Linked DNA regions of Mus musculus. The protein of the gene in region 2 interacts with the protein of the main gene of each other region in a pairwise test. Links are inferred from orthologs where the notes say so. Each region holds a gene or a part of one and is shown on either strand. Other genes may lie near its edges.

Region 1 (8,087 bases), on a different chromosome or scaffold from region 2:
ACTACAGAGCCTCTGCCCTCGGACCCAGAACCTGTGTTCTTCAGAGGACACAGTTCCATCCTGGTGCCAGCCTCATCTCCTCCTCTGCCATCAGCCCCTGGAGGAGCTGCTCCAGCATGCCGATACGATCCTCAGGAATGACTCTGGTTGGACCAAACTGGAGACTTTAGGGCCTGGGACCTGACCTGCTGTGTAACCAAGTGGATCTAACAGGAAGTCTGGTGGTGGCAATGCACAACGGGTCCCAGGGTGCAAAGAGACCCAAGGAATCCAGAGCCTTCTCTGCTGTTGCCTGAGATGGCAGGTGCCAGGCCGGGCCCCGCCCCACAGGCAGGGAAGAGTAGAAGAAAAAGGAGGAGTGCTGACCAGGCCCAGCCTTAGCGCACGAATGGGGAGCAGGCTTGGCTCATCAATGCTGGCAGGCACAGTAAATGAAGCGCCTCTTTCCAGCCATTGCGCAGGCCCTCCCAAAATAGAGTCTGCGCGGCGTGAAATGGGGCTTTAAATTTTTAAGCAGCAAAACTGTGGCCTGCATAGGCAGAGAGAAAAGCCGTGCGGCCTCATTCTCAGGAGCCCCCAGAGCTTTCTGGAACCATTTCCCAGCTTAGCCCTTCTCCCAGGGTCCCTTGGCTTGGGCCTCAGTACCTCCAGCCCCGCCCCTTTGCTACAGTTCTGAATAATTAAAGGCTCAATTAGGCTCCTGTCTAGTTTGGTGTAAATAAATGTCCGCAGGATCTGTTAAATATATTTTACTTGAACTCTTTTCAAGCTATTTACTCTGGTGGCTAAAGGTGGCAAAACAGGCCAAGACACCAACACACGCTCCACCCCTTTGGGGGGGGGGCAGACTCACAGGTACCATGATGGAAATAAGGTCCCAGGTCGCTCCCACACAGGGACTGGCAACAACCTGAGAGTCATCTCAATGCCCAGGCGCTTCCTGCCTTAGCAGCTGAGTCTGCCCAAGGTATTGGAGCCCAGCTGTAGCCCAGCTACAGCTGGGAAGGCTGAGGCCTGGCAGGGATCAGGCTGGGCTCCAAAGCCATTCTGCCTTTGCAAAGATGATTTCTGTTCCCAGGGCTTCTCTTCAAGTTTACAGAGGATGCCTCGCCCCTGCAGATCTCACACAGGTGAGGGCTTGAAAAGTCCAAAGCCAATCAGTAGGGAAAGCCCAGCTTTCTGGGGTGTGTGTGTGTATGCGTGATACGTGATCCACTGTCTCTGAGTAGGAAGGGTTCATGCCTGGAGGCATCTTTTCTTGGGAGAGGGAGTTGGGCAGGGCGGAACAGCCCCTCATTTTCCCTTTTCCCCATGGTAGCACTCCAGGGACCTGTAATAGTGAAGTCAGCTGCAGAATCTGGGGTCCCTGGGGGCAGCCTATAGGTACTCTTGGCAAGAAACAGAATCCCAATAGGAAGATACTGGTTCAGTGATTAGAACCATCTCCCTTTCCAACCAGCTGTGTAGCCTGGGGACATCAAACTGAGGAGTGACCAGTGCCACCAGCTGTGCTCAGGTCTTGTGACAATGAAGTGAGACAAGACTCAGAATGTGTGCATAGAAACATCGCTGCCCTCTTGTTAGGAAGCAACCACTAGGAGCATCCATGCGGGCAGGGGGGACTTGGCAGGTGGGACGGAGACATCCCCACGGACAGCCTGTGTGCCATATATCAGGAACCCACCGTTTCCCTGGCAGCATTGTGGAGCCTTTGGACCAGACCCTGAGCATTGCTCAGAGGAGAGATGGCATGTGACGAAGGAGAGCCATGCTTCTGGCTTTCCCAACAAGCTCCTTCCTAGAGCCCTCAGAGCCCAGGAAGCAGGTGTACTCATCTCCCAACCAGGGCCACCCTTGTCCTCTCTCCATTCTCCTAGCCACTCGGTCATCTGCCCATTCATTCAGTCACAAATGTTTAGAGCGTGGGCCATGCCAGTGAAGGCCCAGCCAAGCCTCAGGCCGCCACACTGCACTCTGCATGTGCAAACTCACACATCAACCCCTTGCACGGACTCACCTTCTCCAGTAGCTGCCTCAGCTGTTTTGTGCGGGCATCCCGCGAACACATGGTCTGCTGGGGGGCGACCACTGTGCAGATACACCTGCCCTCACTGTCCTGGGCAGAGCTGTACACCTGCCAGCTCTCCTCGGGGTTGGTGGGCAACACCTGGAGAAGGGCAGGCAGGGAAGGGCACGAGGAGAGAAAGAGAGAATGTGAGGATGAGGGAGACCTGTACCCAGGTGCTGAGGTCTCAAAGAATTGGAGAGGAACAGTGCCTTAAAATGCATGTTCAACCCTGGGTGCTCAGAGTTTTGACCTCTAACCAAATTAATGCCGGGGGAGGTGGGAGGGGCCGCCGATGCACTAGGTTGGGTGAGGGGGCCATATAAGAAACCAGTAGCTAATGGCTTAGGGAATCAGATACCCTCTTCTTCCAGCAAGATGCTGACGAGCCTTGAGCTCCTGTTCCCTAACACTTGGAGACAAGCACAATTGTTATGAGTCCTGAGTCGGCACCTAAGAACTGAGAGCAGCAACCCTAGAGCTGTGTTGTCTCCCGAACAAAAGCAGCCTGGCTCAGATGTTGATTTCCAACTCCATGAAGCTCCCCCACGCACTAGCCATTTGGTGGATGTCAACAAATATATTGTGTAAGGGTCACCCTTAACCTCAATCCTGAGGGTTTGCCCAAAGACCACCAAGGACCCAGAACTGAGTGGCTGGATTCACCTTGCAGGCCTTCTATACCACCCATGACCCTGACCTTCAGATACACAGCAGGGGCAGAAGCCACCAAGGCTCCTGCATACACACCACCATGACCCCTGCCCTCCAGCCACTGCAGCCTACCCAGTCTCCAAGCCCTTCCCTGGCATCCTGCACTTCCCTGCTATTTTTAGATAAGGATGGGAAGAAGGCAGAGAAGCAGGTAGTGCTATACTTCATTTCATTCATCCAGCTTAGGACACAAGCATCCAAAATCCTTATCAGGGAAACTCATGGTGATATTTTTGTTTGGCTTTTTTTTTTTTTTTTTTTTTTTTGAGACAGAGTCTCATTACGCAGCTCTGAATGTCAGGGAACTCACTCTGTAGACCAGGCTGGCCTCAAACTCACAGAGACCCACCTGCCTCTGGGATTTAAGGAGTGGGACACCACTCCCAGTACCAGGGCACTAGGAAAACTCTTTTTAAAACAACAGGAGAGGCAGACCCTACAAGAGTGATAGATGGTGGTGGTGGTGGTGGTGGGTCACACCACCCAGCTCTTGGGATCAAACTGGAGGAGAATGGTCCCTCACCTGTCCTTTCCACTGAGAAGGTTATGCCAGGGTCCCTTTCCAGTGGCCCCTGACTTAAGGGTGGTCTCTGCTCAGCCTGCTCCATCTATCATGGAAGTCAGCCTTATCCAGACCCTCCACCCAACCCCCAGCCATAGCTCCCCATCCGCAGGCTGCCGATGACATGGAGATTCGATTTCCGTGTCAGAGGCCAGTAGAGAGGGGTGGGTGAAGACAGATCGGCAGCTGGGTCCCGCCCAGCTCCTCTCAACCTCCTCCAGAGTGCACGCTGAGATCTTCCAACCGAGATGAGACCGGAAGGGTCCCTTGGGATTTGGGGGGCTCAGGTGAGATCACAAGCTCTGGTCTTTTGCCTTGGGCCCCACTCTGCACTGGTCCAGTCCGTCTTTTACAAAGTAGGGCGAGCTGAGTCCTGGCTGGACCTAGCCCACAAAGGGTTTTAAGCAGCACCTCCACCCCTTACTTGCTGAGTGACCTTGGCTAAGTCCCCAAGTCCCTAGCTTCAGTTTCCTAAGCTTTGCAAAGAAAGATTTTCTAATATTAGTGAACGAGGACTCTGGACTTTGAACCCCTCCCACCATCACCAAAGCAGGTGTCCTCAAGCCCCTCCGGGGGACTGGGAGCAAAAAGCATCGCCCCGAAACGCCAGAGTGCGAGTGGCGGCCGCAGCTGAAGGCACTGCTTGGCTGCAGGGCAGAGGGTGGGCTCGTGACCCCGGCCCTTGTAACCCTCCCTCCCAGGGTGACCCCATCCTGTGCCGCACCGCCGGGCCAGCCCGGGGCTCGACCCGAGAGGAGGCAGGAGGGAGGAGGGGCCGCGAGGGCTCAAGGCGGGCGCACTTACGCCGGTGCTGCGGTCCAGCGTCCCGCCGCTGGCGGCCGAAAGCCGGGTGGTATTGAGGCCCACCAGCGAGGGCAGCGTCTGGGACATCCAGTTGGTGATCATGGCCATGGTGCTTAGCACGACCCCGATCTTCAGCAGCGGCACCGACATCGCGCCTCGAGTGGCCTCCTGCGCCCGCGCCGCGCCGGCGCCGGCTCCCGCGCCCCGGGCAGCCTCAGGCGGCGGGCACCACGGCGGGCAGGGGCGCCCGGCCGCGTCCCCGCGCCCCCTCTGCCCGCCGCCGCCCGCCGGTCTCTGCCTCCCTGTGCGCACTGGCCATCGCCGCGCCGCCCCGGCGCCGGGAGGTGACCAGGCGGCCCTGCCCGGCGCGCGCTGCCTGCCCGCGCTGCCCGCCGCTGCAGCGTCCCCGCGCGCTCCGCTCTCGAGAAGGGCCACCGGGTTCTGAGCGCGGCGCGGGCTGTGCGCGGGGGCCGCGGCCGGGGGGCGGGGACAAGGCCGGGCGGCGGCCGACGCAATCTGCCCAGGAAATGGGTGGATTTTTCCTCCGAGCTCCGGCTCCGCGACGCCCCCTGGCTGCAGGCAGCGAGGTCTGCAAACCGGTCGGCCGAAGAGTTAGGGTCACCCAGGAGGACGGATAAAACGCCGCCACAAATCGTAAAAAAAAAATATAAAACCTCAAGAATCTCGCATGGCACCCATCCACAGAACACCCCCTCGCCCAGCTCTCTCGGTCACCCTCACGGTTTTGTCTCGCCCAGGCCCGGCCTGCTTGTGGTCAAGGGTCTCCTCCCCTGCTGCTGGGCTTGCCTTCCCTGGTGGACTAAGTCCAGTCAGTTTGGGGTGTCTCCTGAGCCCCAGCAGGAAAGAGTAGCTTGGGTGGAGTCTCCAGTGTCAGCGCAGGAGTAAAGAGGTAGCTACAAAGTGAGAGACACTGCTGGGAACCTTGGACAACTACCTCAGAAGGAGGGGACAGTTGGAAGTCCTAGCGGGGGAACACCCTGGGCTTGTGGGAGCAGGTTTAAACAGAGAGGGACTGGAGGGGGGCGGTATGCCTGCTGTGCACAGTAGAGGATGAAGGAGAGAGAGTGTGCCAACCTACCGTCAGGAGCTGCTGGAAGCATAGGGCTCAGGAGGAACTAGAGGGGCCACACCCATGATTGTGGGGTATGGTACATGCACGGGGGGCGGGGAGGGGCGGGGTTAGAGTATCTGGCGTCTATGCTGTAGGCTTAGATGGACAGGGGTCCCTCGCAGGGACCCAGATCAGGGCCAGGCAAGCTTCAGCAGTATCTGTGCCAAGACTTGTAAGTCTCAGCAAAACAGAACAGCCGGCAAACACAACTTCATAGTGCTTTTGACTTTGAAGCAAGCCCTCTAAGCTGAGGAAAGCCAGTTTCTGCAGGCATTCCTCCAAGTTGTTCCAGTCCCGGGCAGGGAAAGCCAGCCTATTCGCAGCCCCCTACCCCTGCGCTCTTTCCCACCTGGTCAATTATAGACCAGGAAGAGATGTCAGAACAAAGGCAGGCCTCCTGGGGTCTGCCAAGAGGGATATGACATCTTCCGGGGGCTTGTCTCTCTGTGTTCAGTCCTCATTTGCAGAGAAAACGTCAACAGCCAAGATGACCCTGGCCCGAGTGCTGGGCGTGAGCCCTGCTGGCTCAAGAAGTCAATTGGAGTTGTTTCTCTGGTTAATGCATGGCATTCATTGGTGCCTCCAGTTTGGGTCAGATGCCAGCGAATTACAACTGTTAGGGAAGGGCGCCATCTCTCCGTGAAATCTGGTACTGCAGTCCAGTCACACCCAGTGGTCCTGCTGGATGCAGCAGCCGGAGATGCAAGGCTCTCTGCCCTACATCCTCTGCCAGGCATTTTCTGAACAGAATCAGGGCCGTGGCTGTGTCTACTCACTTGCTTCCTACTACACAAAGGTAAGGAGCGCTTAATGTTTATCAACAATTTCAAATCCAGCCCAGTACAGTCCTCAAAGTTCTCAAGGCGTCTCAGGAGTCATACCTTTTATTGAATTCCTACTTAGTGCAAGATACACAGTGCAACATGCTCTAAGCTCTGTGTCAGATGCAGCATAGAGACCATAACTGTCTTTGTTAGGCACACTCCATGGCCAAGCACCATTAAACCTTTCCTGCTCTCTAATGGGCAGAAGTCCCTCCCAGAGGTCAAGTGACCTTGGGGTCAAGGGGAGCTCTGCTATGAACTTGTATGAGACAGTGACCTAGCTAATGAGCTTTATTGAGACTCAGCTCTCTCATTTTTAAAATGGGCTTGACGATAGTAGCTTTCTCCTGTGATGTGTTAAGAGCGTAGGAATAAGACTGGCCTGCTCTGGTGACAGTCATTGTCACCTTTTCAAATGATAAATATGGGTTCAGCCAGCAACCTGTGCAAGGCAGGCTGCGGAGCTGGGCTTTGATATAAGGTGTGATGACCCTGAGCCCTCTGACACACCTCTGGAGCTGCTGTCAGTCAAATATCACAAGCAATGCAAGTATTTCCTCATAAGGAGAGAGGTGGGGATTTATAACCATATAGATATAGCCATATATCCATATAACTATAGTGGTTTCAAAGAGTTCCTGACTCTGTGTTAGGTGAGTGATTTCCACAGGATCCACAATTGCTGCCCTGAATTGGAGGAGTTTAACTTAGCTGGGCTTTTGAAAGGAAATGGAATTCAGAGTTTGAAACAGTGAAGCTTTGGTCTGGTCAAGTAGTCCCAGGAACAAGTAGGTAGCCTTTCGTACCACTGGCCAGGAACTGTCTCCCACCCTCACCTCAACAGGTCACTGTGGAATGACAAAGATTTGACCTCCAGCTCATACTTCTTCTAAGCCTATGTAGGGAGCCAGAGGTTCAAGGCTTCCCTAAGAAATGGATTAGAAGCACTCAACGTAGTTGATCAACTCACATAGAATGCCTCAGAGTGGAACTGGCTGTTGAGAACCAAGCTGACATCGAAGGGCAATCAGTAGGCCAGGTGGAAGGAAATTCTAACCCTACCCACACTGATGCTTGTCGAAACTGGTCACCTCAGAATGTGTCTAAATTGACAGAGAACTGAAGAAACACACATCTGATCATTTCCTAATGCGATTGGAACAGAGGTGTACAGTGAATACAGAATTGCCCTTTCAGCTCTAGCTCAAGTTTTTCCACCCCACCCCCACCCCCGAAGCCTGTACACCTGCAGCCACACCTGAGCCTCTAACTTGAATCCAGGTCTCTCGACTTGCACCTGCATTTGTGTCTTTCCACATGTACCTGAACCTCTCCACTTGCATCCATACCTGAGCCCCTCTCATGTAAATTGAGCCTCTTGACTTATACCTGAGTCCTCCTGCTCCACCTGCTCCTGTGTGTCTCCACCTTTATCAACACCTGAGTCTCCCTTACCTGAATTTGAACCTCTCCACCTGCATCTGAGCCTCTCCATCTGCATCTGAGCCTCTCCACCTGCACCTGAGCCTCTCCACCTGCACCTGAGCCTCTCCACCTGCACCTGAGCCTCTCCATCTGCACCTGAGCCTCTCCACCTGCACCTGAGCCTCTCCACCTGCACCTGAGCCTCTCCACCTGCACCTGAGCCTCTCCACCTGCACCTGAGCCTCTCCACCTGCACCTGAGCCTCTCCACCTGCACCTGAACCTCTTCACCTGTATTCCAATCTCTCCAACTGTACCCTAGCCTCTCTCACCTGTACCAAGTTGCTCTGACTTCACCTGGGCTGAGAGGCTCAAGCTAATTTCTGCCTACTCTTCCAGGCCCAAAGCAAAGTCCTACTCAGTCTTTTTACAGATTTGGCAGGAGGGTCTACTGTCCCTAAGGCATTTGTGAAGGACATCTGAAAGAGTTGGCGTTAAGTGCCATTTGATTTAGTGTTCTACACAGAACTTCCAGAAGTGATCCTTGGATTGTGGAAGAATA
Region 2 (7,407 bases):
GGTGCAGCCAGGGCTGAGCTTACGCTTGATGTGGCAAGGGACTCACTCCTGTCTTTCCCATAAAGACCATTCCTTGGTAGCACAGGCAAGACACTCTTGGGCCCTAATGTGAAGTGGTGGCATTTGTGACCTTAGGGGTGTCACAGATGATCTCTAAAACAGGTTCTAAGGCCACTGCTCAGAGCCCTGCAGGGCACTCCTGCTCAGAGGACTTTAGACAGCCAAAAATGTGGCTGCCGCGTGATGGTCTGTGGTGGCTCCAGTCTGGATGGACGTTTTCTTCAGCTACTTTTACCTTACAAAGGACTATGGTCGAACACCCTCAGGTGATCCCAGAGCCTGGGAGCCTCCCGCAGGCTGGCCTTGTGCTACTGAGTGCAGCCAGGTGAAGGATGATGTTTGTCAACTAGTTTAAATACAGAGTGTTTGCGAGTTACTATGTCAGGACCAAGGCCATGAATGCATGGGAAAGAAGGGTGGCGGGGGCTGCCTGCTCTGGAGGTGGTACAGGAGCTGAGGTGAAGCTGCAGACACAGAGAGAAATCATTAGACAGGAGATGCTGGAGGAGAGGGGTAGGGGACTGAGGGTGACCTGGGAAACAGGAGAGCCTACCATCCTTCCTCACAGGAAGGTGTCCCCAATGAAGCTCACGGCCAGGAAGAGTTGCGTTGGCTGGCATGTTGTAGTAGAAGCATGAGAAGCAAACTGTGGGCAGGGGAGAGTAGAGGGCCCAGCCAGGTCCTTGGAGACTTCATGCAGTCATAGTCAGGAGGTCTCAGTGCTTTGGTGCAGAGCACTGGGAAAGGTGACGTTTATGGTAATGGTGACATAGATCAGGTTAGATTTCAAAAGCTCTGTGTTCACTAAGGCTTGAAGATCAGAGCAGAGGTGAGCAGAGCCTAGCCCAGCCTGCAGGAAACAGCAGGTCTATGGGCAGGCAAGGACCTAAGGATGCTCTTGTGCCCTCTTCCTAGATTGAGTGGAATCCCTCATGCCGTTGCCTAGAGCACTGTTCTGGATTCCTACTGCTGTCTCTGGTCCCCTGCAGTTTCATACTGACTTAGTGTCTAGTCCCTGACCAATTACCCTGCTCTGTGTTGAAACATTGGGGTTTCCTGGGGCCTGCAGAGAAAAGATCCTAGCTCATTTTTTCTTTTGTTTGGCCTCAAGAACTCCTGCCTCCCGCAGATTACTCTGTCTAGGAGCTCTGCTGCAGTGCTCATGAGAAGATGTCCTGTGTACTCATGTGGCACATGCAGGGCTGCTCTCCTATGGAGACATGTGAACGTGTGCTGCTCTCTCCAGCAAGGTGCTCCTCCCCTCAGCATGCTGCCCTTTTGTAAACATGTTCTGGATGTTAAGTGTGTCACAAGGATTATGTGCCTTCAGTTTTGTTGTCTGGGAGTGCCCCAGTTGGAACCCAAGGGACTTCTGGATGTTTGGCAGGCTGTGCCACTCCCACATCCCCAGCCTGCAGCTTTGGTCTCGAATTCACCCTGTGGCACTTTTGACTGATTGGGCCATGTTTGTGCGCAGAGTGTAGCATGTGAGGAGAAAGGACCCTAGTGACAATGCTGTGGGAAGCTGGTGGAGACGTAGTGTCAGTTCTGGTGGGTGGGCTGAGCCTGCTGGTCCTGCTGGCCCAGCATGCTTCTTGTGGCTTTGTGACTTGAGTATTCGCTTCCTTAGCTCTGTGGCGTAGGTAGTCCTTCACATTCCTTTACTTTTTTTTTTCGTTTTGTCTTATTTTTTTGACACACGTTCCTCTATGGGTAGCCTTGGCTGTAAGAGATCAGCCTGTCTCTGCCTCCTGAGTGCTGGTGTGGGCCACCACGGCCAGGCCACAGTCTCCCTCTAATGTGCAGTTTTATGGTTCTGGTTGGCCATAACAGACTGGTGGCGAGATGCTAGAGAAAGGCCCGGGGACCCCTGTCCCTAGCAGCTGTATTTCCCCTGATTGCTCAGCGACCACTGTGCTGTGGCTCCCTTACATAAAGGCTAATTTCCTGATAATTCCTCTTCTTTTCTAGGTGACTCCCCCAGCGATGCAGGTGAGAGCACTTCTGATGTGTTGGGTGTTGTCATGCGTGCGCACATGTCAAACGGAGTCTCAGTTCTGTGCTTAAAAACTGTTTTTTTACTTTAAAGAAATATACCTGATGAATCTATTTTGCTGTGTTTTAAGTTTCCATTTTGTATGTGGGCCATACACATTTCTGTGTTTGAATTTTGAAAAGGTCACATTTCAGGGTTCTTTCTAGTGCATAATGTTTGTTTCTTTTCTTTCTTTTCTTTTCTTTCTTTCTTTCTTTTTTTTTTTTTTTTTTTTTTTTTTTTGGTTTTTCGAGACAGGGTTTCTCTGTATAGCCCTGGCTGTCCTGGAACTCACTTTGTAGACCAGGCTGGCCTCAAACTCAGAAATCCGCCTGCCTCTGCCTCCCGAGTGCTGGGATTAAAGGCCTGCGCCACCACGCCCGGCATAATGTTTATTTCTAATGTTAAAATTCTAATTTTACTGTTTTATGAAGTATAAATTTATTTTGTTTTAAATAGTAGAATAAATTCTATTGTCTTAGTAATTTTGATTTGTGACTTGCTGTCTTAGCCTTTTTATTAAAATGAAAAACACTGTGTTTTAGCCGGATGATCCTGCCCACTTCCAATCTCAGCACTTGGGCGGTAGAGTCAGGGAGACCTCCATAAGAGAGCTCCAGGCCATTCAGGGCTACCTAGTAAGACTTTGTCTTAAAATACAAAGAAAATTATGTACTGACTGTTCAAAGAATACAGCACCCAGTGTAATTGTAGATACTTTAGAAATGGAGTCCAGCGTGACAAAGTGAAAGGCATTTGATGGTCTTTGTTTTTATAACTGAAGCACACACACTCCTGGGGCCCCCGCGGGAGTGACTGAGATCTGTCACTGTGCTCTGTGAGGAGTGCACATGTGAGTGGGCTAGAGCTTCTGAGCGATTGCCACACTGTCTGTCTGTCCGTCCGTCTGTGCACGATGTTCTTTTCCTCAGGCTCAGTTCTTTTGGCTCCATCACCCTTTATTCCTTGATTGGTCAGCCACTGTGCATTAGCAGAACTTGAGTGTGCCCATGTCCCCAAATGTCCACATTTAGATGTCTGACGTCTGTCAGTTTTAACCTCATCAGTGATGGGTGAAAAGAGTTCATTTGCATTTCAATTATTTGACTGATGCCTTTTCAGATGTTTATATTTAATTTGTTGATATTTATATTTGAGTAAATTTATTTTTGTTACTATTGAGTTCTTTTTGAATGCTGATTGGATTGTCCCCTGTTCAGAAGTAGAAGCTGGACCTGCTGGCCAAGATAAGCCGGAGGTGATGGAGAATGCGGAAGTTCCCAGTGAGCTTCCCTCCAGCCTCAGGTGTGTCCTCCGCTGGGGTTTGGGAGTGTGGTCATGCCTAGGACAGTGTGGGGCTTCCTGCCATAGCATCCGCTGCCCAGTCAACACTTGTTCTGTGGCGTAAGGGATTATTTGTGCAAAGCAAGCGGAAACTACCTGTCTAGTTTTCTTGTACCTGAGTTGGAGCATTGTACAGTTTGGAGAAGTTCCTAGTAATGGGAAGGCCTGTGGTGCTCTGATGAATGGCAGCTGTGCCCATTGAATGGGGCTGGTGTTCCTCTGCAGAGAGTCTGAGTGTCATGCCGACCGTGGCATGGGAGTGAACACTAGTGCTGGCCTGCCTATTTGTCCTGTCCACATTGAGATTTGTGTGTGTTTCACAGTCTGTTTTTTTTCCTTCCAATATTTTTTTAGAAGAATACCTCGGCCTGGGAGTGCACGGCCAGCACCTCCCAGGGTCAAACGACAAGAGAGCACAGAGACACTGGTGGTAGACAGGTGAGGCTGCCTGGCCAGGGGGTTCTAGTCACAATGAAGCCACACTCCCCAGTGCTGGACTGTGGGATGCCAAGGTCTGGGCCTGTGCTGAAAGACTTGGTAGGGTGTAGTACTCAGTACTAGGAAAAAGAAAAACTTACCTTGAAGAAATAGAGGATTAGATCACTGCCTTAAACCACAGAGCAGCAAGCATTCCAGATTGGCAAAAGGGAGAAATACGTGTGTTCATGTATCAGATGCCTCAGAAAGCATGGGCCAGCACTGGCTGTGTTTCCCTGACCTCTAGATAGAAGACTGTCAAAGTGTAAAAAGGAAGAGAGCTGAAGGTGTAATTGTGCAAGAGTTAAACAACAGGTACTCCGAGCTGAAAACACGGCAGCGGTATTGGATAGAGGCGTGGCCCTGTGAAAGGGGTCGGTCCCAAGTCACGTGACCCACAGGGCCCACTTGTGCCACCCTTGGTCTATCTTAGAGTCAACGTCAGCAAACAGGGCAGAGCCAAAGGACTAGAAAGGCTGGGGTAGAGGGCTGGGGTGGCCTGGAGCTCTGGGCAACATGGAGGCTGTTGTGTGGGAGGTGATATTCTCCCTGTTCCCACTGTTCCCTGAGAGTTCCCTTCACCTGTCTGGGGCAATGGCAGTTCAGCTCCTTTCTGAGAACTGTGGTATTTCCAGATGCAAGGGGCTGACAACAACTGGTGGCTGATGGGTCGTCACTTCTAATGTAATGACTCTTGCTGCTTAGGTCGGGAAGTGGTAAAACCGTCTCCAGTGTGATCATCGACTCCCAGAACTCTGACAATGAGGATGACGAGCAGTTTGTGGTGGAGGCTGCCCCTCAGCTGTCAGAAATCGCAGACATTGACATGGTTAGTTTCCCCGAGGGCCCTGTTCTTAGGCACACGTTCAAAAGTGAGGACTTGGCTTTTCAGCTTATGTAGACACAGTTTCTCTAATTTTTCAGTGAGCTGTCTGGTTTCTTTGTGTTTTTGTTATTTATTTATTTTGAAGTAACAAGGCTTCCCTGATCTCTCTCCTTTCCGCTCAGGTGCCGTCAGGGGAGCTGGAGGATGAGGAGAAGCACGGTGAGTATGGACCGTGCTCTTGTCGGTGTGTGTGTGGGCTCTCTGTGTCCTCTGAAGATGCAAGTGGCCATCCTGTGCCACAGGGTCCTAGGAGGGACACTGTTGCTGCTGCCATGTGGGCCTGGGGGAGCCATAGAACCTGAGATCAGAGTGGACTCCAAGCATAGTGGCATCGTATCTTGTCTTTCCAAGAAACTGTGTCTATACATGCTTATATGCACACATGAACATGAGAATAGAATTTGTTATGTAGCCCAGGCTGTCCAAAACTCTCCATTTTCCTGCCTTAGCTTCCTCAACAATGGAATTCTAGGCATATGCCACATCCAACTCAGTTTTGGTTTTTATTCATGTAATTCTTCCTGTGGCTTTAAGGTTAACTGTCCATAGCCAGCTGCACTGAGAGGTGTACATTTGTTTTGTGGTTGTTGTTATTTGCGGCAGGGTACCATTGTGTGGCTCTGGCTGGCCCAGACTTCACTGTGGAGATCTCCTTTTGATCATTTTCTTGCTTCTGTCTTGTGAATGTTGGGACTATAAGTTTGCACCACCCCACCCAGTGCTGAGGTCTAAGACTTCTCCTTTGTTCTTTCTCCCTATATTCCTCTCCCTGATAGTGCAGGTGAAAATGTGACTGGGGGTGGGGGTGGGGGTGGGGTTGAGGGCTCATAAGAGAGGGCAGCTCATGATAGAATGTTGACTGACATTCTGACACTTCTCTCCATCCCCCTATTATCCACCGCTTCACTCCTCTTCCCGTAATGTTCCTAAGCCTTGGAGGGCGGATGAGGGGTGCGGTGTAGATGTCCCACTTGTGGCTGAGCTTGTGTTGACACTTTGGTTGTGAGTTTGCACATTAACCATCGTCTGTGCATACAGACATACAGACTTAGTGGGTAGTTTGATGCTATGTCCTTTTAGTAGAAAAGAAGTTTTCCTCTGGGGCTGGCAAGCTCCCCAAGCATAAGTTTTGGGCCACATGTACAGGACTATATTGAACTTTCCTTCTGTGCAATGGGTCTCAAACTCAGTCAGAAAGTGGCTGGCTGCCTGCATAACACTGGTGCCACTGTAGCACCCATGGGTGCATCATGCCACACTGGCCATTGTTGAAGTTCACAGGGTTCACAGCTCGGTTACAGTGTTGATAATACCACACCCAGCATCGTACATATTCTTGTAAAACGGTATTTTTAAGAAGATGATTTTTCATAAGTAATTTACACCATGGAGAATTCTAGAAGTTTAGTATTCCTGCCCAATCTAAAAGAGGCATCAGCACTGTGAAACCATTATAATCGCTGTTTGCATGGGTAGTTACATTTTGGGGTGTTAATCACATTCCTTTTTTATTTCCAAACCTCCTATCTGTGACCCTGTGACAAGCCTTTGGGACCCTGTGACAAGCCTCTGGGACCCTGTGACAAGCCTCTGCCAGTAGAAGGTGCTGCTGTGGTTTGTCTTAGCATCCGAGGAAGGCATTTTGATATGGAAAGAGGAGGGATGAGAATTCAGCATTTATCTCATCTTGAGATGAGATCCAAGAGTAATGAGCAGCTCCTGGGGCAGATAAGAAGCCATAGCTGAAACCTACTGATTTTTAACAGGTGGGCTCGTGAAGAAGATCTTGGAGACGAAGAAGGATTATGAGAAATTGCAGCAGTCTCTCAAGCCTGGTGAGAAGGTAAGGAGCAGGCCTGACATGGTCGTTTGAAAAGTCCTTTACATGTTACAGTGTTCATTGATTTAAAATCAGTAATGCAGGTCACGCGCTTCAGTGCCATTCCCCTCATAGCTGAGGCACAGAGAGCTCGCAGCTCTGGTCTGTGGAGTCCCGTTCCCCGGCTCCCTAGGTGGTGTTTGGGTAGCAGCTGTTTGGGAGGCTGCTGTGTCTTCATTGCACAACGTCCCTCTGTCCTGGCCTGCTCATTCTTCCTGGCTGCTGTGACAGTGACAAGCTGACTCTTGGCCCTGGGTCAGTGTGGACTGAGAGCTGGGGATTTGTAGGCCTGCATCTTACTGTGAGTTCTGTGTGTGTCTTGCTCCTAGGGCCTTTCTTACTGGCACATACTGTCCTGTCTGCCGTCAGCCCCCAGGAAGGTCAGAGGCAAACACAGGAAGCTTCCGCAAAAGAAAGGCTAAGTCATACTAAGTAGGAGAATGGGACATTGAAACACGGTGAATGAGTTGGTGACTTCGGTGGTTTCAATGAGAATGTCCCTTGTCAGATCTGACATCTGAGCACTTGGTTGTCAGTTGTCGTTGCTGATGTGTGCAGCCCCTGCAGTGAGATTGCACTTGTTACCTTTTATGCCTTGTAAGGCTGAAAAGTCTGGTAATTTAGCTAAGATCTCTGTGAATTTAAGGCCATCTTGATCTAGAGACTGAATTCTGGAACAGCCAGGGCTACACAGTGAGACCTTGTTTTAAAAAAACAAGCAAATAA
Region 3 (7,882 bases), on a different chromosome or scaffold from region 2:
CTGGAAAGAGAGGCCCATTGGACACGCAAACTTTATATGCCCCAGTACAGGGGAACTCCAGGGCCAAAAAGGGGGAGTGGGTGGGTAGGGGAGTGGGGGTGGGTGGGTATGGGGGACTTTTGGTATAGCATTGGAAATGTAAATGAGCTAAATACCTAATAAAAAATGGAAAAAAATGGTGTGTGAGCTATATGACCTTGGGTAAGATGTTTGACCTCTCTCTGAGTCTTGGGATTTATATTTTAATTTCGTTATTGCATTTACTTGTGTATGTGCTTTAGAAGTTCTCCTGTTGTTATTTTAAGATTTACATGGGTTTGTGTTTGCCTGCACAATGTGTATGTGTGCCAGCCATTTCCACAGTGTCAACTCTGTGGCTCCATGGGGAGGGGAGGGGAGGAGAGGGGAGAGCCTGCTGGCTTCTAGTGTCCTTTTCAACTTCTCTCTGCAGTGTTTTTACATCTTTCCTTGCAGGCATCTCTTGCTCTCTGATTGGCTCTCCTCCTAGGTGGCCTGTTTGTTTTGTTTTGCTTGGTTACTATAAAGGGAATCCTCTCCAGATTTCTTCCTCTTAAAGTTCACATCATTGGGATGTTGAAAACTACAGATTATTGATGTTCATTTTATATCCTATGGCTTGACTGTAAGTATTTATTTCTTCAATCTAAGAATTCAGATGAAGTCTTCAGGGTCTCTGAGATACTGGATCACATCTGTGAATAGGAAATGTTTGACTTCTTCCTTTTCTGTCCGGATCCCTTTTCTTTCTTTTCTCTTAGCGCCCCATGCTGCACTCCCAACTCTGCAGGACATGTTTCCTGCTCTCCTCCATTTAGAATAAATTTAGAGTTTAGATGTTTGTAGCGTGTAGCTTTAAGAGCTTTTGTTTTCCTGTGTGTGGGTATTTCGCCTGCATTTCTGATTGTGCACCACATGTATATCTGCTGTCCTCAGAGGTCAAAAGAGAGTCTTAGAGCCCCCAGAACTGGAGTTACAGATGGTTGTGAATCACCATGTGGTTTGGGTGCTGGGAACCAAACCAAGGTCCTATGCAAAAGCATCGAATGCTCTTATCTGATCTGTATTGTGTTGAGAAATTTTGTGCCTTTGTTCATCAGGGAACTTGGCATGCAGTGTTCTTTGTGTGTGTGTTCTTATCTAGTTTGGGCATTAGTGTAATACTAACGAGCTGTGCTCCTTCCAGGTTGTCGAGATTGCCAATTTCTGAAAAGTATGGTAGAGTTCAGCTGTGAGCCTGTTTAGTTCTGGGCTTTTCTTTGTTGGTGGACTCTGCTACTGTGTGTGAGGGAGAATTGTGGAGATCAGCCACATCTGGACAGCCCTCACATCTGGACAGCCCTCACATCTGGACAGACCTTGTTGGGCTACCCAGGCCACGGTCTGTCAGTCAGACTAATACATCCCATGTGTCTATATATCCACTCCATTGGCTCTGCTCCTTTAGAGAAAGAACTCTGACCCAAACACTGCCCATCTCTAGTTTTATTCATGTGGAATCACCCCATTGGTTATTTTTGCTAGAGTATTTCTGTTTGCTTGTTGTTCTTGTTTTTTTGTTTGCTTGTTTGCTTGTTTGTTTGACACGGTTTCTCTGTCTTAGCTTTGGCTGTCCTGGAATTCACTCTGTAGACCAGGCTGGCCTCAAACTTAAGAAATCCAAGTGCCTCTGCTTCCTTAGTGTTGGGATTAAAGTTGTGCACCACCACCACCGCCATCTGGTTAAAATGTAAGCTCTCATAACCTTTCCTGTAAGCAATTCTGTGGAGGCATTGTCTTGTTTAATGATTGATAGTGTGAGGGTCCAGCTTAATGTGGGTGGTTCTACCCCAGGTAGGTGGTGTTGGGTTGTATAAGAAAGCAAGCTGAGCGATCCACTGGGAACAGGACAGCAAGCACCACTCCCCCTTTGGCTCTGCTTCAGTTCTTGTCTCCAGCTTTCTGACTTGAATTCTTGCAGGCAAACTAAGACAAGGTAGTATATATGCCCAGAGACAGGACTCCTTCACTTAGGTTTTTGACTACGAATCTCCTCCTCTGGCATGTGACTGGCATTGGAAGTCTTGTGGGACTGAGGCCTAAACCTGTGGATCTGGTTTTCTCTGTCTCTCTGTCTCTCTCTCTGTCTCTGTCTGTCTCTGTCTGTCTCTGTCTGTCTCTGTCTGTCTCTGTCTCTGTCTCTGTCTCTGTCTCTCTCTCTCTCTCTCTGAGTCAGGGTGTCCCTATGTAACATAGGCCCATCTGGCCTGGAACTCGGAGATCACCTGGCCTCAGCCTCCCAGGTGCTGGGATTAAAGGTGTACACCCCCATGCACCAGTTCTTAATGTTCTGTTCAAAGAATCAGAACTGAATGGATGCCATCCAGGTAGTAGCTTGTGCAGAACCCAGAGTTTCGAGGTCATATGGGTCTTTGTGAGCAGAGGTTTCAGAAATATTCTATGTTGTGCAAGTGTAGGGGGTTCTCAGCAGATGGAAAAGTCTAGGTAGGGGAAGACAGCTCCTTTGGAGTGCAGCCACAGATATTAAGCACTAAAGGCAGATAATTCTGACTAGGCAGAAAATTGTGCACCTGTAGGCCTCAGCTATTCTGGAGGCAGGAAAATCACTTTAGTTAACAAATTCAAGGCCAGTCTGCCTAATTCAGCCAGACTATTTATGTTTGAGACAGGATCTCACTGTAGCTCAGACTGGCCTTAAATTCATATAGGCAAGAATGACCTTGAACTTCTCGTCCTACTGCTTCTACCTCTGGATGCTGGGATTACAGGTATACACCATCACACCCAGTTTATGCGATGCTGAGGCTAGAGCCAATCCTTCCTGCATATGCTAGGTAAACAAACGTTCTACACCCTCAGCCCCAGATTTTCTCTTTAAACCAACCAACCAACCAACCAATGAACCAATGAACCAACGAACCAACTAGCTGGCCAACCAGCGAACCAACTAGTCATCTATACCATCCAACCCACTATCCAAAAACCTTTCGAGAGAATTCTAAACGATCGTGCCACACGACACTGAATACACTTCTGCATTCCTAGCTCTATCCTCTCTCACCCCAGCCTTCTTCACTGTGGTGCTCAGTGGTGGGATGCTCCCTATTTGACAGCACAGCTCCAAGACTCCCGCTAGAGTCAGCGCAGACGCCACTGTGCACGCGCGTTCACCCGCACCGCCTCCATATTGTCCGCCGCGGCGCTCCGTAGCAAGCCCCTGGCAAGCTCCACGTCGACCGCGCAGGCGCCCGGGGCGCGTTCACCTGCTGCCGTTGTCGCCGCCGCCGCCGCCGCTGACGGGGCTGGATGGGGGGCCGAGGCCAGCCAGGGGCACCCAGAAAGAAGAGACGCGGCGGCGGCGACGCCGACACCCGCACGACGAGCGCCCCGAGGTGCCCGCCAGCTCCACAGGAAGGCGGCGAGGCCCGGGCCCGGCCGCCCCGCGGGTAGAGACGCTGCCGGCCCCTCGCCGCGCCATGTTCAAGAAGCTGAAGCAGAAGATCAGCGAGGAGCAGCAGCAGCTGCAGCAGGCGTTAGCCCCTGCTCAGGTACGTCGTCCCCCTGCGCCGAGGCCCGGGAAGCGGGCGAAAGTTCCCCATGACCTTTGACCTCCGCCCCAGGAACACCCCCCCCCCCCAAACCGTAGCCCTGGAAGGTTTGGGACCACCCAGCCGGTGTAGGAACCCTGGCCTGGTTTCTCCCAAAACTCCGTCCCTGTGCAGGGTGACGGGACCGGTCGGGACATTTGACTTCGGAGTTTCCCCTCTAAGGACCGACCCGGTCTGACAGATGGGTGCGATGGGTTCGGGTCCTGCGTGGGGAGCTTCTCTCGCCCGTCAGAGACCCTGACTCTAGAGTGGTGACGGGGGCGGGGCAACCCAGATCCTTTGTGATATGTGACCTCTGCCCTCTGCCCCATATATGACCAATGTCCTCTGGGTTCCCTGGACATCGCACCCGGAATGACCAGGTCCCTGTAAGTCTCCTGCTTCCAAACCCTGATCGAGGCAGAGAGTCGAGCCTGCCCGGGCCAGGCTGCTCGCAGGAGCCGAGGGCGGCGGTCCAGCGACCAAGCCTGTCACGAGTTAGTCACTTCGTGTAACTTGGGTGATGGCGGACAGGGCTCAGGGGCAGACACTGAACGGGACGGGCACCGAGCCTGTCAGCAACCGGGCTCTTGCATCTTTTCTGGAAGGTCGTTGCTTTTTAAGGGAGTATGGTTTCGGGCTGGGAAAAGGGGGCGTGTTCGTGTTAGAAACAAACTACCCCTCTCCAGCACTCAGGGTGTGAAGGACGGGAGGGGAGGGTTTCTGCTGAATCTCTCCCCAGTCTCCCTGAATATCAGTAGATTGAACACGAACGTCTTTTCTTTTATGGTTAGAAACCTGGAAAGCCCATGGCTCAAGAAAGGTCGTAGTTTGGCTAAGTGGGAAGCAGTTTGGGTGTTTAAATATAACGACCCAGCATTCTGTTTCTAGAAACATAGTCTGAGAAGATTTAGGATGCAAAAACATTTAGTTACACGATTTCTTTTTTCTTGTGTGCGCGCGTGGGCAGGTGGCAGCCAGAAGACAACCATGGTGTCGTCATTCCTCATCCCTCGGGCTTTATTCTTTTTATTTTACTATTTAAAAAAGATTTCTGGATTTCTTTATGTGAGTGTCTTGTCTGTCTGTATGTCTGTACACTGTGTGAGGCCAGAAGATAGTGTTGGATCCCAGGGAACTTGTCATGCATGGTTGAACCATTATGTGGGTTGGTCCTCTGCAAGAGCAACAATTGCTCTTAACCTCTGAGCCATTTCTCCAGCACACCCCCTGGCCTGGAACTCACCAAATAGGCTGGGCTCAATGGCCAGCAGGCCGAGGGAATCCACCTTTCTGCCTCCTGAGCACTGGGGTACAAGAGTGTGCCACCACAGCTGTCTTTTTTAACCTGGATTCTGAGATGGAAACTCAGGCAAGCATTTTACCATCTGAACTGTCTTGCTAGCCCTGGCGCTGTTTTAATGGTAGCACTCTGGGGCCAGTAAAGAATTGGCTGGATACATTCTTACCAGGGGGCTGATTATTATACAGCGCTAAAAAGAAACAACGTTGATTTGGATCTCTGCTCCACATTTATTTAGTAGTTAGTATAGATTACTTAGACCTCATAAACCTATGAGGTAAATATTATTCCTCCTATAGATGAAAATGTGATGAGACCCAAAGGCAACTGCTACATAGAATCAGAGCTGCAGGCAAATATTGTCTACATAGACTGAGAGATGCTACAAGAGACAAATTAAGTGCAGCATATGAATTGTGACCCACTTTTTATGGCAATAAGAAATGTATTTTTAGGAGTGAAGCACAGCAATCTTCCACTGTAGCACTATAGACCCTCCCACTCCAGACTCACCCCCAGGGAGTGAGGGAAGCTTCTGCTCTACACCGCAGCGCATCCTTCAGGCCTTTGGCCTTATCTGTGTACTTTGTCCTTATCCCCATCTTACTTTGTTATTGTTGCCCTGCCTGAAGCCTCATTGTTCGGGAGAGAAGCCTGATGTTCCTGCCACTGGCAGTGTAGAGAGAGACAGGAGAGCTCAGGGCTTGTGAGTTTCTGAGCTTGCCTCTTTATTTTTAAATAAAGATATTATATTTAAAGCTGGCTCATACCTTTTGCTTTAAGACCTGAGGCTTTCTAAGAATCTGGGATGAACGCTGCTTTGTTTCCATGGCAGCAGTACCTTGTGTGGGTCCTGGCGTTGCAGTACCTCAGCTCTGCTGAACTTGGTACCGCTTCTGCTTCTCGTTCATCTCCAGTCTTCTGAAAATTGCTTGAGACTTACTAACTCTGTGGAGGACGCCATATGTAGCTCATATGCCGTATTTAACTGGAAGCTGCCTTATTTTTGGATGGCTGAATTTCACATAGAAGAAGACCATCTTTAGGAGGTGAAGTATTTATACCATAAGAACGATGGTTCATTTCTGGAACAACCACTGTAGATTGCAAAATGACAAAGATGCTCGATTAAGGGCATGCTGAAAAGTTCCCACTAGTGATTGAAATGCAGATGTTGTGTGAAGACTAAGCCCATGGTAGGTAACCCTTCCTACTCTGGAATGTCAAGTTGATTCGCAGTGATTGGAGCAGTGTTGTAGTGAGGACAGGTCCAGTGGCCTGTCCCTGGCCTAGGTGTGTGTGTGGGGGGGAGGAGTTACTGAGCAGGTGTGCTGTATGTTGGTGCAAGCCAAAGCCACACCTGTTTCTTAAAGTGTATCTGCTTGGGCAGAACTTAAGGGGCAGGAGCTTAGTCAAAAGGCTCATGAGCATCCTGCTAGTGAGTCCATAGCTGCTATAAATTGCTCATGAGAAAACATTGAAAACCCCTCATTTTGATATTTCTCATACTTGTCTACAGCTCCAATAATTAGAGCAGTCCAGTTCCTAGTGGCAGGCTGTAATAGATGAGAGGACTTCCTGTAGTAACTAGCTGACCAAAAAATACTGTGAATGTTGCTTCCTTTTCTCTTAGAAAGCTGGGATTAGTTGATTTCAGAGTTACTAATTCACAGTAATTAAACTTCACTGATACTTAAAGAGATTTGAAAGTGTAGAATTGTACCTGTTTTTCTAACAATTTATTCTGGAGTGTTTGTGAGCCTTCCAGGTAATGCGGCCTCTAGTACAGTAAATTTAAAATAGCATATCCTACTAATATGAATATTCAAATTTTGTGTTTTTCCTATCTTTAAATCATGTTGTTCAACCTGGGATTAATACTTTTAATTCCTGTTTTTTTTTTAAACCATAGTTAAAAGTATGAAATACATTGAAGTATGTAGATTTGAGACTTGGTTGCCAGATAGAAGAACTTCAAGGTTACAGAGATAGATAGCATGGCACAGTGAAAGTAGTACTCCAGGTGGCTTGTGAGTTGGACCTGGAAGTCACACAGGTTAGAAGACAGAGACAATTAGAGGAGGGTCTCTAGGATCCACTCCTCAGTAAGCAGCTATTGCCAGTTGATAGCTGCAGGGGGGGGGGGGGGGATGGGCGCGGAGAGGGGAGCATCTGTGGAAGCTCTTATTTATGGTAGGCTTCTCACACTTTACTGGATGCCTCACACCGGTACTCAGACGGGCAGCACTGGTGAGCTTAGAGGGGGGTGGTCTGGGGAGGGGGAAATGGATGACGGATATGATCATGTTTCATTGTGTGTGTGTGTGTGTGTGTGTGTGAAGAATAGAAAAAAGAAAAGAAAAAGAAATTATGTCTCCTGCTACAGAATCTACGTACTGTGAAGACTGTGCGTGTAGCTCAGCCATCGGGTGATTGGCTAGATGTTGGACACCTGGGCTTGAGGCCTCTATACCCTGCACTAATTAAAACAAAAGATGGTAAAAGCTTTTGTTTTAGGGGTGTCTCTATGTGAATTGGGTGGAAATATGGTGACATTATTAATATTATTATTACTATTTTTACTGTGAGTCCAGAGAAGTTCGAGAGCTAGTCATCTAAAGTGAAGTGGTAAGGTGGACAGGGAGTTAGGAGGTCTGTGCTAACCTCGTTCTTGAAGTGTCTAACCTGGGCAGTCGTGTAAACATTCTACGCGTCTAATCGGATCAGGAAATTGGGTATGACTTTGTGTGCTCTTTGCACCTTTCAGATTGATTGTGAAGACCCAGAGTGAGAAACTGCAAGAAGCCATTCGTATTGGTCAACACTGTTTTCACTTAACAGGGCCTACAGGTGCTGCGCTGGGTGTTACGTTTGCCTCGCATGGCTGAGAAGGGTGCTCACAAGGTGCATGGCGTGCCTGTGGGGAAATACTGAGGAGGAGCCTCTGACAGGGAACGAAAAGCAAAGGGTAGGC
Region 4 (7,992 bases), on a different chromosome or scaffold from region 2:
GGCTAACCGAATAATGAGAGCTTCAGTTTGGTTTTCCATAAACTGAGCTTTGTGGCTGCTGGAGAGAAGATTCTTTTCCAGGGCACACTTAGAAACCTTTAGATTGTTTATGAGCATCTGAAGATGGTCAATTTTATCATTAAGTTCTTTGTTGTCCTTCACCATATTCTGCAGTTGGTTAATTTTATCCCGGAGCTCATTCCTATCCTTTATCAGTTTATCCAGAGATGCTAAAAGCAACCAACCAGCAGCATCATTTTCCTTATTTTCCCCCAAACTGTCAAAAGTTTCATATACAGGGTCACCTAATCCATTGTCGCTCACAATTGGTGAGCCAGGATAATCAAATTCATTTATCTCTTTAAGTTTGTAATACAGTTCATACCATGGGCCTTCAGTACTCTCCAAGCTCCCAGGAGAGGGGGTGACTGGAGAGACTTCAGTAGCTGAAGGTGCCGGCGAATTGAAATGCCTATTCCAGATACTTAAAAGATTCATCCTTATACTTCTGCTTCTCTAGAACCACTTCTGGTACCAAAATCTGTATTAGTCAGGGTTCTTTAGAGTCACAGAACTTATGGAATCAATCTCTCTCTCCTTCCTCTGTAGTCCAGCTAATCCAACAATAAAAAGTCTAAAAATCTAGTGGTTGCTCAGTCCCACAAGGCTGCATGTCTCAGGTGGTCTTCAGTATATGCTGCAATCCAGAAGTAGGTTGTAATACCAGTGAGGGAATGGATGTGCTAGCAAGGCAAGAGCAGATAGACAAAGAGTAAAAGCTTCCTTCTTTTACGTCCTTATACAGACATCCAGCTGAAAGTATGGCTCATATGTTCACAAAAGACATCTCTTAAGATTTGGATTAAAGACTTGTGTCTTCCCACCTCGAGATTGAGATTAAAAATGTGTGTCTTCCTACCTCAAAGGTCTGGACTAGAAGTGGATTCATCCACTTTAAGCAGACAATCTCTCACAGGTGTGCTCTTCTCCATTTCTGGGTTGTAGGTGATTCCAGATATAGTCAAGTTGACAACGAAGAATAGTCATCACAGTCCTGAAAACTATAGAAGGGAGTTATCAAACATCATTTTCAAGTGTTTATTTTGAATAGTGTAACTGTGTGTGACAACTATGACAGCTCCAAAATCATTCCAATGAATCCTTTTGTATATGTGTATTCTGGAGCATAACTAACTTGTTTTAAAGCAGATCCCCACGCCACGGATCAGTCAGATATACAGGAATCCAGGCATGATCAGCGCAGTAAGAGGAACTGTGGTGAATGGCTCAGAATTAAAAGTACACACCACTTTCCTTAGATAGCTGGCTGGAGAGTTCACACTAGTATGGTCTCATCTTAACCCAATCACATCTGTGAAGACTCCACAATATTTCCAAATGAGTTCACATGTATAGGTACCAAGAGTTAGGATGGGAATGTATCCACTTGGAGATGTATTTCAACTCACAACAGGGAAAAAGAGACTTCCTCATTTTACAAGTTCTTATTGGCTTTCATTTTGGTAAAGTAGAGGATGGGAAATGTGGGGTCTTTTTTTGTTTGTTTGAAGTGAAGTAATCATGAAACATGTATTTATAGAGTTTCCCATGCAACTGACTTTCTGAGGGACATTTGGGAAAATGTATGTTGGCTGAGTGAGGAAGATGTGGAACCTATCTCTTTGTTTCTGGATATGGGGCGCTAATCTCAGATACTGCATCCTAAGGACACACCACCTATGTTCAAAGACAGTTGCCAGGGCTGCTGTGCAGAGAGGGGCCTACATGGCACTTGGAGGACTAATTCACATAATAAAAGGGGCAATATTGGAGCATCTGACTTGAATCCACACCACAGACAAGGATAGATCTCAATAGGTTGATGAAGTATGTTCTGTTGTCAAAATACCAATCCTTTGTAACAATTTTCTAGCAGGTGACATTAACATGTTTTAAGGAAGAGATACCTTTTTTAAAGTTAGCATAAAGATGACAGAATGTTGAGTGGAAGAAGTCACTGTCATGATCCTTTGGAATAGCCTATGTGAAAGAGGACTGGTTCAACTGTGGATTTATTAGGCCTCTCGATTACAAATAATGGAAAGCTAACTTCAATGACTAAATCCAAAAGGGGGATATGGAAGTAGTTACGACTTGGGAATGTTCTAGATCCAGGGACCATGTAGTTCAAAATACAATTGTTAGGTGCCACACAATTGGTAGGTTAGAGGCTTATCAGCTAGCAGAAACACTGACCTCTTTTGGATCCTAGCGTTAAGATCCCCAGAGAGGAGTGTTCAGATTTGCTTTGATCTGGTCAACCAAATGGTGTGTGACCTGGGTGTGTGGGATAAAAACCATACAACTAAGTGATGTTGGCAGGAGGTAATGGTTACACATCTTTACAAGAGAGCATTGCAAAGAGTACCAGAGGCAGAAAATGGCTTGTTAACCTGTCATCCTGTCAGATGACAGGAGTGAAATGAGATTGTAGGTCACTAAACCCAAGTGTTCTTCATAACACTACACTACCTCCCTCTCAACTGAAAGCAGTGATATTTTGATACAATTTCCTATTTCAAGGAAAAAAATCGTAACAAAAATCGAATCGGAAAATCCGTCATGTCTTCTAGAAGGGGCAAACGGAAGCATGAACAGTGACAACAAACCAGAGCCGCTATGCACGGAATAAAATCTTTCCCTAGGGACCTGGGGTGACACCAAGTAATTAATTGCTCTGGAATAGTGGAGAAATCTGCGTGGGAAAAGAGAGAGGAGATGGCAGAGAGTCTGACAATTTCCACTTCACCGAGACTTTGTGGACTCGCAGCCGCCCTCTGATTTGATGAACAAGTTGTTTGTTCCACTCTTCAGAGGACGACCCCGGATTCCAGGGGCGAGACTCCCGCAACTCACCGAGTTTGTTCCACAGACACCCAACAGCGAGGGATGAGGGAAAGCGGCTGACGTGACGCTTCCCAAGGGTCCCTAGGGCGTCGCCTCGAACCCCTTGTGGCTCTTCCAGGAAGGAGAGCGAACACTTTGGGGCGAGCAGTCGCTCAGTCCCTCAGGTTAGAGTTAGGATCTTGAGTCCGTCCGGCATCCTCGGCGCTTGGCGCTGCGAGTTGGAGCTCCTAGAAAGAGAACGGACTCGTTTGCATCTCCCCGAGGACTCAGCGAAGTCCTCGTCGGTCGCCGGGATGCCCAGCGCAGCGCTCCGTTAAACAAACAGACAAACAAACAAGCAAACAAACAAACAAACAGCGCTCCCTGGGGACCAAGCGTGCTGAGGAACGCCACACCCCTCACATTTATTCCCCACCCCCGGCACTGCCCTCCGCGTGACGTCAGGACCAATCCCTTCACTGCGTTCCCGGTCAAGTTCCAACTCTGGCATCTCGCGAGAGTTTTGTTTTCCTTCACCCTAGTCTCGGACCTGCGCGCGACACGTCGGGCGCCTTGGCACCTGCGGTTTGATTAGTCTCCATCAGTCTTAAGGTTGCAGCCTGGCCGCCCGCGTCTTTTGCCTTCGGCCGCTAAGATCTCGCGAGATTTCCCGGGGCTGCCCACGCCGCGCCTGCGCAGAGCTCTTCAAAGCAGAAGGTCGCTCTTGGGAGGAAGTGGCCTTTTGCGTCCCGTGCCCGGAGCGCCGTTACTACTTTCTCGAAGCTCTCCTCGGCTCCCTTGCCGGGACACTCTGCCGCTAAGATGCCCCGGATTATGATCAAAGGGGGAGTGTGGAGGAACACGGAGGTGAGGCAGCTTTTCCCGCCGTCCGCAGCCCTCCGCCGGCTCTGGTAGCGTGTGCGCACGCGCGGGGAAGCTCCGGGAGCCGTGGCTGTCCCGCGGGGGTCTGCGGTGCGGGGCGGCGACTGCGCGGACCCCGGGGACCCTCGCGGTGCATGGGTGCGGGCTCGGGTCACCTGGCTCACCCCGGGGGCGAGGTCGCGACTTGTCGCCCGGCGCTCCTCGCTTGGCATTTGCTAGGCCCTTGATCACTTATTTGATCAGTTAGGGACGCGCCCCCTCGGTGTCTTCTGCAGCCCGGTGGCCGCCGACCGGACCTCCCCCGGAGCCTGGTGTTTCTCCAGCTCCTTTCGATCTCAGCTCGTGCACAGCGCTTCGCTCTGTTAGAAGCCGTTGTGGCTGCAACTTTGTTTTTTCCGTGACTTCTTTACAGCCGGACAGGCTGCCCGTTTACGTCTGCACCTCTCTGCTTATCTTAGGACCTGGGTCCTTTCTCTTACCTTTCCAGTCACGCCACCCTTGCCGGGATAGAAGCCAGTTAGGACAAACTTACCTACGGTGGTGTTTGCGTCCAGAAATGTTGTAGATTATGTCACGGTGAGCGGAACAGCAGAAGGAAGGAAGTAAAATAGAAATTAAGTTAACGTGCATTTAATCGAGTGCGCCGAATGTATGAGCACCTTTCCGTCTGTCTTGTGCGTTCTTGAGATAGCTCCTTATTGCTTTGGCATCTTTCTGAACATGCTCCAAACTTAGCTGAGAACACTTCTTAGAGTCCTCCTGGCCCATTCGTTGGTCGTCCCGTTGAGAGTTAGTTGTTTAGTGGTTTGGTGGCACCTATTTTTCATTTACTACAGCTTTGTTTTCACAAGCACTTTTGTGTGGCTCCGGCTGAGTTACTTCTGAGAGCCTCAGATTACTCATTTTTATAAGACAAATAAATAATTGTATTTAAGCTCTTGAAACGAGTTGCCAGTTTGGAACATTGTGAACGCAGCTGGGTACATTAGTAGGCTTTCAGTAAAAAAAATGAGTTGCTGTTGTCTTCATCAGACAGCAGTATAGTAGGACCAGGCTTTGGCATTCTAGTATGAAGCAGGTTTCTTGGTGATGTTTGGGAATGAATCTTGTAGGATAGGTACCTGTTGTATGTATTTGGTTGAAGATGCGTTGAAGTTTTGAAAAACTTTACCAAAGTTACAAATGGAGGCACTGAAAAGGGACTTGCATGCACTAAGACAATTTAAACTAGAAGAGTTGGCTTCTGAGGAAGAAGCAGAGTCACAAAATCAAGTAACATCAGGATTCCTCTATAATGGCCAAAACCCAGCAGAGTGTGTGTGTGTGTCTGTGTGTCGATGTCTGTCTGTCTGAGATAGGGTCTTATGTAGCTTAGATTGACTTTGAACTTGCTATGTAGATGAGAGTGACCCTTAACATCTGATCCTCCTGCTTCTACCTCTCCTGTTCTGGCATAAGAGGTGTGTACTGTCATGTGTAAAGTCTTATGGGAATCTAATCCAGGACTTAAAGTATGCTAGGTGGGTATGCTACCAGTTAGCAGTGGGAGAGAAGATGGAGTGGAGGGTTTTATGTAGAAGACAGGCAATTCAAGTTCATTGTAGAAAAAGCCTAAAAGTAAAGTGCTCAAGTGCATTCATCTATGACTCTTAGGTCTGTGAGCTCGCGTGGCAGGATGTCTGGGGATTGGGCTATACTTTGGGTACTCTGGTGAAATGGTTTTTAGAGATTGGAGTAGGTAGACAGGGCGCTGACTGATGAGGTAGAGGAGCTGTGGATCCTGGGCTGTTGTGAGTAGGATGCCTGCCAGAGAGGAACTGTGTTGAACCAGAGTCTCAAGTTTCTTCTTTGATTCTCTCTCCAGAAGTATAGAAGACCTGCTTCAAGGTAGATAGTCAGGAAATTTTTTGTTCTTGTTTTGAGAAAATATATAAATGTATGTGAACTTTGTGAGGAGAATGGCAGGTACATGCCAGTGAATAATTTTGTCTGTCATAAAGTAGTGTTTTTAACATTGACTTTTTCCACCTCCAGTTTGTTGAGGGCCAGGTAAGATGTCCTTTTTTTCTGTTTTTTTTTTTTTTTTTTTTTTTTCTGTGGCTGGTGAGCCAGCAGTTAAGAGCACTGACTGTTCTTCTGAAGGTCCTGAGTTAATATCTCAGCCAACCACATGATGGCTCAAAACCACCTGTAATGAGATCTGATGTCCTCTTCTGGTGTGTCTGAAGACAGCTACAGTATACTTATGTTTAATAATAAATAAATCTTTGGGCAGTAGCGAGTAGGGGCCTGAGTGAGCAGAGGTCCTGAGTTCAGTTCCCAGCAACCATATGATGGCTCACAACCATCTACAGCTACAGTGTATTCATATACGTAAAATAAATAAATAAATAAATAAATCCTTTTTTTATTACATATTTTCTTTATTTACATTTCAAATGCTATCCCAAAAGTTCCCTATACCCTCCCTCCCACCCTGCTCCCCTACCCACCCACTCCCATTTCTTGGCCCTGGCATTCCCCTGTACTGGGGCATATAAAGTTTGCAAGACCAAACTGGGTCTCTCTTCCCAATGATGGCCAACTAGGCCATTGCCGCAGACCCTCTGGGCCCCTTTGTCTGTGTGGAACGGGTCTCCAGTCTCGGGTGGGCAAAGCGTCGTATGGAATGACAGACAGATGCACACAGGAGACGTTGTGTAGAATCTGAATGTAATTTGTCAAATCGAGCATCAAACTTTTTATACAGAAGAAAATAGGGAAGTTGGGTGACACACCAGCAAGGGCCCTGTGTTCCATCCTATAGATGACTGTGAACATCCACTTCTGTATTTGCCAGACACTGGCATAGCCTCACCCGACACAGCTATATCAGGGTCTTTACAGCAAAATCTTGCTGGCATGTGCAATAGTGTCTGGGTTTGGTGGCTGATTATGGGATGAATCCCTGGGTTGGGTAGTCTCTGGATAGTCCATCCTTTCGTCTTAGCTCCAAACTTTGTCTCTGTAACACCTTCCATGGGTGTTTTGTTCCCTATTCTAAGGAGGAATGAAGTATCCACACTTTGGTCTTCGTTCTTTTTGATTTTCTTCTGTTTTGCACCTTGTATCTTGAGTATTCTAAGTTTCTGGGCTAATATCCACTTATCAGTGAGTGCATATCATGTGAGTTCTTTTGTGAGTGGGTTACCTCACTAAGGATCCATCCATTTGCCCAAGAATTTCATAAATTCATTGTTTTTAATAGCTGAGGAGTACTCCATTGTGTAAATGTACCACATTTTTTGTACCCATTCCTCTGTTGAGGGACATCTGGGTTCTTTCTAGCTTCTGGCTATTATAAATAAGGCTGCTATGAACATAGTGGAGCATGTGTCCTTCTTACCAATTGGAACATATGCCCAGGAGAGGTATTGCTGGATCTTCTGGTAGTACTATGTCCAATTTTCTAAGGAATCGCCAGACTGATTTCCAGAGTGGTTGTACAAGCTTGCAATCCCACCAGCAATGGAGGAGTGTTCCTCTTTCTCCACATCCTCGCCAGCATCTGCTGTCACCTGAATTTTTGATCTTAGCCATTCTGACTGGTGTGAGGTGGAATCTCAAGGTTGTTTTGATTTGCATTTCCCTGATGATTAAGGATGTTGAACATTTTTTCAGGTGCTTCTCAGCCCTTCGGTATTCCTCACTTGAGAATTCTTTGTTTAGCTATGTACCCCATTTCTTAATGGGGTTATTTGAATTTCTGGAGTCCAGCTTCTTGAGCTCTTTGTATATATTGGATATTAGTCCCCTATCAGATTTAGGATTGGTAAAAATCCTTTCCCAGTCTGTTGGTGGCCTTTTTGTGTTTGACAGTGTCTTTTGCCTTATAGAAGTTTTGCAATTTCATGAGGTCCCATTTGTCAATTCTTGATCTTATAGCACAAGCCATTGCTGTTCTGTTTAGGAATTTTTCCCCAGTGTCCATATCTTCAAGACTTTTCCCCACTTTCTCCTCTATAAATTTCAGTGTCTCTGGTTTTATGTGGAGTTCTTTGATCCATTTAGACTTGAGCTTTGTACAAGGAGATAAGAATGGATCAATTCATCTGGATGTGGTGGTGGCACATGCCTTTAATCCCAGCACTCAGGAGGCAGAGGCAGGCAGATTTCTGAGTTTGAGGCCAGCCTGGTCTACAGAGTGAGTTCCAGGACAACCAAGACTACACAGAGACACCCTGT

Evidence for each region.
Region 1: the proteins of Traf3ip1 (region 2) and Olfm1 interact in a two-hybrid assay, tested with the Homo sapiens proteins (2 studies listed by BioGRID and IntAct). The link is inferred for Mus musculus from reciprocal best matches to the Homo sapiens genes TRAF3IP1 and OLFM1.
Region 3: the proteins of Traf3ip1 (region 2) and Golga4 interact in a two-hybrid assay, tested with the Homo sapiens proteins (2 studies listed by BioGRID and IntAct). The link is inferred for Mus musculus from reciprocal best matches to the Homo sapiens genes TRAF3IP1 and GOLGA4.
Region 4: the proteins of Traf3ip1 (region 2) and Cdc5l interact in a two-hybrid assay, tested with the Homo sapiens proteins (2 studies listed by BioGRID and IntAct). The link is inferred for Mus musculus from reciprocal best matches to the Homo sapiens genes TRAF3IP1 and CDC5L.

Annotation. Positions count from the first base shown.
Region 1 is NC_000068.7:28,202,158-28,210,244, reverse strand, and holds the start of Olfm1 (noelin isoform a precursor), read right to left. Parts: upstream 4,557-8,087; 5' UTR 4,296-4,556; coding exon 4,146-4,295; intron 2,168-4,145; coding exon 2,018-2,167; intron 1-2,017. UniProt on the Homo sapiens protein: Contributes to the regulation of axonal growth in the embryonic and adult central nervous system by inhibiting interactions between RTN4R and LINGO1. Inhibits RTN4R-mediated axon growth cone collapse.
Region 2 is NC_000067.6:91,516,263-91,523,669, forward strand, and holds part of Traf3ip1 (TRAF3-interacting protein 1), read left to right. Parts: intron 1-2,031; coding exon 2,032-2,052; intron 2,053-3,315; coding exon 3,316-3,400; intron 3,401-3,793; coding exon 3,794-3,877; intron 3,878-4,621; coding exon 4,622-4,745; intron 4,746-4,924; coding exon 4,925-4,961; intron 4,962-6,568; coding exon 6,569-6,645; intron 6,646-7,407.
Region 3 is NC_000075.6:118,502,992-118,510,873, forward strand, and holds the start of Golga4 (golgin subfamily A member 4), read left to right. Parts: upstream 1-3,326; 5' UTR 3,327-3,494; coding exon 3,495-3,566; intron 3,567-7,882. UniProt on the Homo sapiens protein: Involved in vesicular trafficking at the Golgi apparatus level. May play a role in delivery of transport vesicles containing GPI-linked proteins from the trans-Golgi network through its interaction with MACF1. Involved in endosome-to-Golgi trafficking.
Region 4 is NC_000083.6:45,429,152-45,437,143, reverse strand, and holds the start of Cdc5l (cell division cycle 5-like protein), read left to right. Parts: upstream 1-3,436; 5' UTR 3,437-3,708; coding exon 3,709-3,753; intron 3,754-7,992.